Linked DNA regions of Canis lupus familiaris. The protein of the gene in region 2 purifies or fractionates together with the protein of the main gene of each other region. This does not show direct contact. Links are inferred from orthologs where the notes say so. Each region holds a gene or a part of one and is shown on either strand. Other genes may lie near its edges.

Region 1 (3,114 bases), on a different chromosome or scaffold from region 2:
CCCATCAGCCCAAAGGTACGTCTCTCATGACATGAAATGTGTGTGTGCAGCTGGACAGACGTGTTTCTTCCTCTGCCCTCTGGGACCACACAGAAACCCGTTTACCGCCCCACCTAAGACATGTGGATGCACACACCGAGTGTATTTCAAACAGTAAAGAAACAGATTTTGGCACCAAGCATAAATGCATCCGAATATACAGAGAAGTCTGTGGAAGTAAAAGCACAAAACATCTTTATGTAATTCATATGCACCTCATGCAAGATATAATAAATGGTGAATAATCACTTCATAATACGGGAGACAAGCAGATCGTTAACATTGGCCGACGATCGTTACTCACAGAAACGCTACAATCACATCGGTTTGCTTCCCTATGTTTAGAATAAAATTATTAATAATAGTCGCCCATATTTTCCCCCTAAATTCAAGTGCTCGGATATTTTTAATTAAAAATTAAAAGTGTAAAACTGTGTTACTTGGAGAAAAAGCCATCAGACTAACAAGAGCCCAGAGGCCAAAAGATTTACAAGTCCCCCCCCCCCCCCCCCGCAGTGTTCCCGCTGAGGCGTTTGCTATGATCAGAGCTGGAGATGTAGAATTTTAAAGTGCATTTTTACGCTTTTCAATATTCTACACACGCTGTAATTGAGAAGCACAAGTTGCTCTTTGTCTGTCAGGACAGCGTCTCTGATTAATGAGACCCTAATACAGATTTTCCCCAAGTCGTCCATCAAGTGGCCGAGGCCCACTCCCAGCAGGACTGTCTAGGGCGCCCACCAAGTGGCCCTTGCTTGGCGGGTGGGGAGTCGCCCTGGACGGACAGATGGACACACACACACACACACACACACACGCTAATCCTCTGTAGTGGGCAGGTGTCGAAAAGTACACAGGAAAGAATACAAAGCTGTAACAATATTGTGGAAAAATGTCATGTTTTATTGGTTCAGGCATTCGGAGAAGTAAACGGACAGCTATGCCTGTCTTCAGGAATTCCAGTCAGCATCAGAGTCGGTACCATTTGTATCTAAGCCAGAATTAGTGTGCAAGTTCAGGTCTGTCCTGACGCACTCACAGCCCTTTTTTTAAAAAGAAAGAAAAAAAAAAGGCAGCAGCAGCTATTGGAGGTTCTGTGGGAGAAATCTGTATAAATGGTTACTGTGTCTTAGAAAACAATGTCTTAAATTTTGAATATATGAAAATGCCTTGAAAAGTCTTCTAATGTATTTATTTTTAAATGTACAGCAGGGGTTTGTTTGTTTTGTTTTTTTTGTTTTTTTTTTTTTTTGCCAGTAAGAAGCTTAGCCATTCTTTTTTCTTCCTTTCTCCTGACTGTAAGGATGAGTCACCATTTGCTTCAAATCTGGCAGGCAGGAGTCCCAAGAGCTGCCTCTGCTTGGTGGGCTGAGGCCTGTGGGAGTTTCAACTTACTTTCTTCTCCAAGGGCCATTTTCTCTGACTTCCATGCTTTCCCCAGGTACAATGGGCTTAAAGCACTAAATGGCAAATGGGGACCTGTTCTCTGCATTTGTCAGAAAAGGTCATCATCATGTTCCTGGGTGACAGCCCCTGATGTGCTCACTTGGTTTAAAAGAAATGACTACGCCCCACGAAGTGCCAGTCTGCGCTTCGGACATCTGTTCCCCTTTTGCTTAGATTGAGTCCCCGGAAAACGTTTCAAGGCCTTTTGAGTTCACTGCCCAGGTGAGCCGCGACAGCTCCGGGTAGCGCCGCACGCAGTCTCCATGACAGAGGACCTGCTGTCGGGGCGCCCGCTGCTCGTCCCTGCCGGCCACGGGGCGGTTTCCTTTGCCTGCGTCAGTAATAAGAAACTCGCTCTCTCTGCTTCGTTAGATGACTGAATGCCAGATTTCAGCATTTTAAAAGTTGACTTAAAGTATTTCAAATTAGACCGATTTAGAGGACAGACATCAAGCTTTCATATCTACCCTTTCAAGGCTGTCTTACGGATTGAATGAATGCCATTTTACCTTGTTCACCGTGCTTATTTTCCCCTTTTCTTACTCTGGAGTCCAAAAACACTTTTTCGTCATGTTTTACAGAGGGATTAATGCCTGAATATGTTAGAAGCACAAAATAAATTGTGATTAAAAATATATATATATAAAATGCTACGGGTGAATGTAGGTGGACGGGGGTCGCCTTTACATAAACGCGCATTATGGTCTATTCGAAGTGCACGTCCCTGTTTTGTAGTCCGATGTTGAAATAATTCCAATTGCTTAAACTTCAAAGAATCTAACTTCTCTCTCTCTCTCTCTCTCTCCCCTCTCTCTCGCAGGCAAATCCCTCGGTTCCCAAGACTATCTTGAGCTGGCCAACAGATTTCCCCAGGAGGCCTGGGAAGAAGCGCGACAGTTCTTTTTAAAAAAAGACAATAAATGAACGGCCTGGTTGGCCCGTCGGGCGCCCGCGGAGGCTCTGAGTGTCGGGACCAAGGCCTGAGCCCGGCTCCCTGCTCGGCGTCCCCAGGGCGCTCGGCGTCGAGATGTGGGTGAAGTTAGACTAAACTGGCGAGTCTGTTTCCTTCTTGTAATAAAGTAACTTATTCTCTTTGCGTCCGTGGCTCTTCTTGCGGAGGCGGCACGAGGGGGCCGGGCGGGGCCGGGCGGGGGCGGGGGGGGTCGGGGCGCACCTGCCTCCCCGGGGTCCGCGCAGGTGCCCCCCCCCCCCCCCCCCGGCCGCGGGGCAGAGACGGGGCTGCGCTCGGGCCGCGGGGCGCCTCCTCCAGGACGGCCGCCGGGCTCTTCCTCCGCGGCCCGGGGCGGGGGCAGGGGGCTCGGGGCTCGCGCCCGCCCCCAGGACAGCAGCGCCCCGACGCCCGCGGAGCATCCTCAGGGCCGGAAGGGGGGGCGCGGGCAGGGGGAGGGCGCGGGGGGCGGGGAGGGATGGAGGGGGGAGGGGCAGGGGATGGAGGCGGGGCCGCCGCGGAGCAGCCGGTGCCCCGAGAGCGCAGCGCCCCGGCCCCGACCCGCCGACCGCCCCGGAGCCCCCGAGCCCGCCCCTCCGGCCCGACTGCGCCCCCCGCACCCGCCGCGGCCCAGGGCGGGGAGGACCGGCCACCTCGGGGCACCCACGGCGCACTCGGCC
Region 2 (3,754 bases):
AGGCAAAGAATATCATTCATTACTCTTTTCAAGTTTCATTGTAAGGTTAAAGTTTGTTATAAATTTTCAAGAAAAATACAAAAATTACTTTATTTCCAAAGGATTTTCCTGCTATTCCCAGACCACTTCTCAGAACTAAAACCTAAATGAGATGAAACGAATGAATTATCCAGTGACTCAACAGACCTATCTATGTATGGTAAAGAAGTTGCACGCATAAACTGTTGGCAGAGCTTGCTTTATAGCAGCTACTTCATTTTATATGTGGTTAGCTGCAGTCATGATTCAACTCTTGCCTCACAGGAGGACAGTGTCCCTCTCTGGTATCAGACTGGATTTACAGAAAATTTTAAGCTGTAAGAGATGTTAGATATCACAATATTGAAAGCTGTATCCTATTCAAATACTCTCGTAAGTGGTATGTACACAGTGAGTTTATGAATACGGTTCAAATCTATTCTCCCAAGCAGGCAAATATTTCCAGGGTCAGATTAAAATAAGGGTTTGAGATCTAATTAAATTGATGTGATTGGCAGTAATATGGGAAGGAAGGAGCACCCAGTTAGGATTTATAGGTCACTAGGTCAATGTATGAGCTGTGAGATCGGAGATGAATCATACCCTTTCTAAACTTTGTTACATTACACCAAATTCATTATATAGTAAGGGTCAGGTAAAATAATGTCTTAAAATGAAACTATCATTAATCCATAATCACTTTAGGATTACATTGATTTGATACAGATGTTCTTTAAAACTTACCAAAACTACCATCCATTGGATAATCAAGAGGTACCAGCGGTTTTCTTGGTCCAGGTAGAGTAATAGCTGAATTAAAAGCCAGGACATTTTCATGTTCTGTTTTTTTAGATTCAGCTGGCCTCTTCTGAGTCTCTTCTTCTGTTTCATCCACATGAATGGTAAATGCAGGCTGTTTACTGTTTGCTTTCCAGGGAGGAATAGTGACTTGTTCATCATTTATAGGAAGATCCTTAAGAGGTGCAACCTAAAAAGAAATGAATAGCTAGCTTTGAGCCTATTAAATGGAGTTCTGCTTGCTTTCTTCCCCTTACGGTTCTCAGTTTCTGTTTTCACTCCCAAATACTCTAAGGAAATTAAACTATCTGGGACAAAATCCAGGCAGTAAAGTTTGAATAGCTGAAGAAAGGGATGTTCAAGTTCGTTAGCGGCATTTCTACATAAGTTATAGAATCACACTAAATGCATTTATGCAAAACTAATCAAGGCCACAAGAGGAGTGGGGTAGCAGGCTGAATGATGACAAGTTTAGGAGAGCCGGCAAAGAGGTGTTGGTTCACCGCTTTGGCCCCAGGGTGGAGCAACAGAGCAAATCCGGTAAAATGGCGGAATTTAGTAAAAAAAAATTATTTTTTATACTCTTTCCTAAAGTAAAGGTAATCTTAACCAAATGGCGAGCAGGAAGGGGGTCCAGATCCTAGGGCAGTGCCTGGGGTTTAAAGCGGCGAAGAAAGCGCGGACATACGTCGTGGTGCTCGGTCTGACCCTCATATTCTATCGGAAAATATACCAAATAAAGAGCAGACAGGGAGCAAAACACACAGCGCTGGCGAAGAGAGCTATGGGAAAGATTTACGTGGCATCCCCCGCGCCAGAACACTAGGCATCAAGGGGACTGCAGACCCAGGCCTCCCTTACAACAGCTCGGAAGATGCTTTCTCGCCACGCTCCCCGGCCTGCTCAAACCTCGTGCAAAACTCCCGCTCGGCCCTCCTCGCCTGCAGATATCGTTCATCTCTTTACCCGCCGTGTCTTGGGCCTCTGCTGCGGCGCTGGGACGCGCTGGTTCCCGGCCTTCAGGACCGCCAACCCGGCCCGGGTCCGGGGCTGCTGGGCGGGCGCCGCCTTCTCGGGGTTGATGTTCTCCTGGTCCTCTTGGAGCGCCGTATGCTGCAACGTTAGCAGCGACGAGCCCGCCTCGCGGGCCTCAGGCCCAGGCTCCGAGCTGCCCAACATCACTGCTCCCCGGGTCGCGGCGGGATCAGCCTGCGGCGCCAAGCAGCGTGTACTGCGTCCCGCCGACCCCGCCGAGAAACGCTCCAGCCGCAGCCGCCCGCGGCAGTCCGGGCCAGCCTGCTCGCTCGGGATCGCGCAGCTCCGAGGACGTTGCGAAAGGCTCAGGCAGGAACTGCCGGGCGTGGAGGGCTCAAGACGCCCCCGAGATGTAGCGAGCAGCCCGCCGGAGCGGCGGCTGTTCGTGCAGTTCAAGTATCCCGCGACTATTGAAATGGGCCAATGGGAAGGGCCGATGCCCCTGACGTCACTCAAGGCGACACGGTCGCAGACAAATGAAGGAAGCCGTGAAGGCCACGGAGCGGGGGCGGAGAAACGCCGAAAGGCGGCGGGAGGGAAAACGCCTGCGCCGGCCAAAGAGGCGGGGCCTGAACTTCTAGTGACTAAACTGGGCCACTTGGTGACCCGAGGGTGCTGGGCCGCGGCTGTCTCTAGGACCGACGGAGTCAAACCCCAGCAATTGTTAGTGGCCGCGCCTGCCTAACGCTGGCCGTGGGGCCCTCAGTTGGCTGGACTGACTGGTCTCCCAAGCTCGGATCCGACCCAGCCGCGAACCGGCCTGGTAGGCGGGCCCCGTGATGACACGTCTCTGATTCTCAGTGTTCTCATCTATTAATTGGGGGTAAAATGCTACATGTCGTATGGCTGTTGTGATTATGTAATGTGCGTAAATCATTAACATGCTTGCTTACTGATCCTCGAGTGTGGACTGTACTGTCATGTATCATTTAGGGGTTTCTTCAGTCATGCTTCCGAATTCACCTCATGAAGATGTGATTAGGTAGGTGCTACCTTAACTACTGTTGATACATATATATAAACAAATAGTAATGTACTGGAAGAAACTCAACTAGACAGTCACTAATTTTGATGCTTTTCCCAGCTGTGCCAGCCAACAAAAAGCACCCAGTGAAATTTCTAGTGACATAGATACAGAATTTTGTTCCATTTGGCAATGAAGGCTGTTTAAATAAAAACAACATGACCTTTTAAAATAAAACTCTCAGTGATATGTGCCTTTAACAAGTTCTCAGATTTAATAAACAAGGCTTGCATATATTAATATAATGGTAAAGAATTAAGAGACCTTGTTTTCTGACAAATTCATGAGGATGCCCTTCTTAAAAACATGATTATATAATCTTTACGCCATTTTAAAACAATCTTCAAACACAATATTCTCCTGAGTATGAAGAAACATGAATTAACATTAGTGAATAAAACTTCTGTAGCTTTAAAGTCTTATTTCCCTCTCTACATGATAAAACAAGTCAGTGGACACTAGTGCAGGAAAATCTAAGAGGCCATCACTATTTCTGCACTATTCACATGTAGTAGCCTTGTACAGTTCTACTGGTTATAGGACAGCAAGTGAAGATCCCTTCAATCTGTGCAGCTCTGCTCATTTCCCTGGCCAAAATTTATAGCACTGAGCATACTCAAGCTCACAAACTGAGCACGGGTCACAAAACATTACCTAGCAAGAGTGAAATCAGTTGCAAATTGGGGGATCCCTGGGTGGTTCAGTGGTTTAGCGCTGCCTTCCGGCCCAGAGTGTGATCCTGGAGACCAGGGATCCAGTCGCACATCAGGCTCCCTGCATGGAGCCTGCTTCTCCCTCTGCCTCTGCCTCTGCCTCTGCCTCTGCCTCTGTGTGTGTGTGTGTGTGTGTGTGTCTCATGAATAAATAAATAAAATCTTA
Region 3 (3,654 bases), on a different chromosome or scaffold from region 2:
AGAGAGAGAGGCAGAGACACAGGCAGAGGGAGAAGCAGGCTCCATGCACCGGGAGCCCAACATGGAATTCGATCCCGGGTCTCCAGGATCGCACCCTGAGCCAAAGGCAGGCGCCAAACTGCTGCGCCACCCAGGGATCTCTATTTTTAATTTTTGATGAATTATCTGTTGTATCTATAAATATGTAAAAAATGCAATTTACCCATTTTTGCTTCACACTTAATAAATGCATTTTTAGTGACAAAAATAATTATTAAACCAGGGCATTTTTTATTTCAGGTGATAGAAGTATTCATTAGAGCAGAAGATGGTCTTTGTAGAGAAGTGGTAAAACACCTTAATCAGATTGAAGAACAGATCTTGGATCATTTGGCATGGAAACCAGAGTCTCCACTCTGGGACAGAATTAGAGACAATGAAAACAGAGTTCCTACTTGTGAAGAGGTTTGTGAAAATACCTTAACATCTTTCTGTAACAAAAGTATAACAGGATCTAATCTGTTTATATTCTTGTTTCACGGAGAGCAGTTAAACTTAGTATCTCCCTTATGGGAAGTGAGAGGGTGGCCATTGGGTTTAATATGGTATAGTCACCCCTGTATCTAAGAAGAAACCCCTAACTCTAGGAGTCAGAAATAATGTGTGATTGCTTCAAGGTTTCAGTGCCAGAGTAAGAATTCAGCATTCTCTCTTAATTTTCTAGTCAAGTCTCTGTACTTTAGAATGGCTGGTATTCTAATTATCTAAATCAGTAATGAAGGCTGAATCATATTTAGAATTCACCTATTAGCTTTGAATTTTTTTAAGCTTGCCAGACCTTTTCAACTTCAGTATGAAACTGGAAAAGACACTGATTTTATTTACATTAAAGAATTGGTGAGCCAAGTTTCCTTTTGCCTTAGATTGTGACTGTATTTCTAAAGAAAATACCTTTTTGAATAATGATACTCTGTATATCATTCTTTATAGGTTATGCCACCCCAGAACCTGGAAAGAGCAGATGATATTTGTATTGCTGGATCTCCTTTGACTCCCAGAAGGGTGAGTGAAGTTCGTGCGGATACTGGAGGACTTGGAAGAAGTAAGTTTAAAATATTAGGAGGGGGGCACCCAGGTGGCCTAGTTGGTTGGGTGTCTGCCTTCAACTTGTGTCATGATCCTCAATGGGATTGAGTTCTGCATTGGGCTCCCTGCTCTGTAAGGAGCCTGCTTCTCCCTCTTCCTCTGCCTCTCTGTCATGAATAAATAAATAAAATCTTAAAAAAAAAAAAATACTAAGGGGAGTATTTGGGAGCCTAATATCTGAGAATTGAAATTCTATCTGAAACTAGAAGTGAAATTAATAGGGTTTAAATAAAAGAAATATTTTGTGCATTATTAACTGGAACCCTCCCCTAGAAAGCCTTGTATAGCCAGAATAAGTTGAGTATTATAGTACCACATGGATCACTTAAAAGTAGTGCTTTTGAAATATATTTAAGAACACAGGAAGATACATGTAATAACAAGTGACTTTAAAAAGAGAATACTATATATTAATATAACTATATATTAATACTATATATTAATATATAATACTATAATTAATATTAAATAAAGAGAATACTATATAATTAATTATAATTAATATATTAATAATATATACTAATATTAATTAATGTATCTTAAGTGTGTGTTTATTATATATAAGCATACAGAAAGGCTAAAGAAAACCAAACTGTTAAGAAATATTGGTTAATAGAATTCCAGGTGCTTTCTGTAAATTTTTAAAAATAAATATGTATTTCTTTTAAAATCAGAAGAGGGGTGCCTGGGTGGCTTAGTTGGTTAAGTGTCCAACTCTTGATTTCTGCTCAGGTTGTAATCTTGGGGTCGTGGGATTGAGCCCCATGTTGGGATCCGTGGTTGACACAGAGTCTACTTGAGCTTCTCTCCTCCCCTTCCTACAACTCTCATGTGCTTGCTCTCTTGCTCTCTCTCAAATAAATCTTTTTTAAAAAGTAAAATCAGGAAAAAACAAAAGCTTCTTAAAGATAGAGTTGTATGATGCAACTAGGTATAGACAAGCTGATGAGTTAAAAGTACTGAATGGCCAGAGCATGTTCAGCTTTAACTCTTGTCAGTTGAGCTGTGCTACACTGGTTTATAGGACAGCAGTGCTGGCCCCAGAAATACAGAAAAGAGAAGTTTCACTATTCATCTGGTTCTATTTAGGCAGCTGCTTTTTTTTTTTTTTTTTTTTTAAAGTAATCTCTATGCCCATCATGGGGCTCAAACTCACAACCTGAGATCATGTTCAATAGGCTGAGCCAGTCAAGCACCCCTTCAGGTTGTTCTTGTAACATCTTCCACATGCAAGGTTTAAGTTTACATAGTTAAGACAAAACTGCTTTTAAAAAGCAATTTTGTAAATTCAGAGAGTTCTAAATCCTTACGTGCCATTAGAAGGATATTATTTCTAGATGAACCTTTTAATGTAATTGATAAGCACTGGTTATAGAAAAAAGATCAGATTTAAAATCAAGAATCAGTGCATACTCAATAACTATGGATAATCTATATGAAAATTTCCTCATTTTTTGGAAGAGGAATCATAATGGCTTAACTATTTTTCTGCCTGTTATCCATCTTAGACACAGATCTGACAGCTGGTCTTCCTCAGTCCTGTTTCTATAGAGTTTTTCCTTCCCTAATCTGTGGATTTAGGACCTGACTTTAAACTCATTTTCTTGGGCAGCCCCTGTGGCGCAGCGGTTTAGCGCTGCCTGCAGCCTGGGGTGTGATCCTGGAGGCCTGGATTGAGTTCCACGTCGGGCTCCCTCTGCCTATGTCTCTGCCGCACTCTCTCTCTCTGTGTCTCTATGAATAAATAAATAAAATCTTAAAAAAAAAAATAAAGATTAAAAAAAATAATAATAAACTCATTTTCTTTGTACTTACCACTTCTCCATTTTCTTGAGGTCTCTTAATGCTTTACAAGATAATGATCCTAATGCATTCTTTCCAATTGTAGGTTTGTTCCAAATACAAATCTAGTAAGTTTATTGGGTTTTGTGCCATTGGAAAATTAAAATGTTAAGCTATAGTCTGTCACGAGTACCCCTATCCTCTTATGACCTCCCTACCTATATTTTTAAATTAAAAACAACAATTGATGTGCAGTTGGAAGGAATGCTGCTTAAAAATTCAGCCACTGATGTGCATATTTAACAACAGACTGTGCTATAATGTTTATAGGGGTTGTTTATGTTTAGGATGACAAAGTAATTTGGGAAATAGTGGTGATGGTTGCACAATATTGTGAATGGAATTAATGCCCTGCATTGTACATACAAAAATAGTTCAAATGGCAAATTACATGTTATATATATATATATATATATATATATATATATATATATATATATATATATTAAAAAGGTAGCAATATACCAGATTCAAAATTTGGTATACCAAAATTTGAATACCAAATTCAAAGCATTGAATTGTACAATTTAAGTGAAATTTATGTGAATTATGCATTAATAAAATTGTTTAAAGAATATAATAAACTAAGCTTAATTGAGTCCAAAACACATATATCCATTTTTGCTGAAGAACATTGAGTTTTAGTAATTTTCTATACATGGAAAAAGACAAAGATGCAAATTGATA

The links. Proteins that work in one complex are often made in the same cells at the same time.
Region 1: the proteins of CCNA2 (region 2) and SCAPER purify together in Homo sapiens (affinity purification with mass spectrometry; 3 studies listed by BioGRID and IntAct, counting the BioPlex papers as one, with this or other methods). This does not show direct contact. The link is inferred for Canis lupus familiaris from reciprocal best matches to the Homo sapiens genes CCNA2 and SCAPER.
Region 3: the proteins of CCNA2 (region 2) and RBL2 purify together in Homo sapiens (affinity purification with mass spectrometry; 3 studies listed by BioGRID and IntAct, counting the BioPlex papers as one, with this or other methods). This does not show direct contact. The link is inferred for Canis lupus familiaris from reciprocal best matches to the Homo sapiens genes CCNA2 and RBL2.

The regions. Positions count from the first base shown.
Region 1 is NC_049251.1:40,246,290-40,249,403, forward strand, and holds the end of SCAPER (S phase cyclin A-associated protein in the endoplasmic reticulum), read left to right. Parts: coding exon 1-15; intron 16-2,305; coding exon 2,306-2,409; 3' UTR 2,410-2,582; downstream 2,583-3,114. UniProt on the Homo sapiens protein: CCNA2/CDK2 regulatory protein that transiently maintains CCNA2 in the cytoplasm.
Region 2 is NC_049240.1:19,143,166-19,146,919, reverse strand, and holds the start of CCNA2 (cyclin-A2), read right to left. Parts: upstream 2,281-3,754; 5' UTR 1,996-2,280; coding exon 1,783-1,995; intron 1,007-1,782; coding exon 763-1,006; intron 1-762. UniProt on the Homo sapiens protein: Cyclin which controls both the G1/S and the G2/M transition phases of the cell cycle. Functions through the formation of specific serine/threonine protein kinase holoenzyme complexes with the cyclin-dependent protein kinases CDK1 or CDK2.
Region 3 is NC_049223.1:61,549,174-61,552,827, reverse strand, and holds part of RBL2 (retinoblastoma-like protein 2), read left to right. Parts: intron 1-279; coding exon 280-444; intron 445-969; coding exon 970-1,081; intron 1,082-3,654. UniProt on the Homo sapiens protein: Key regulator of entry into cell division. Directly involved in heterochromatin formation by maintaining overall chromatin structure and, in particular, that of constitutive heterochromatin by stabilizing histone methylation.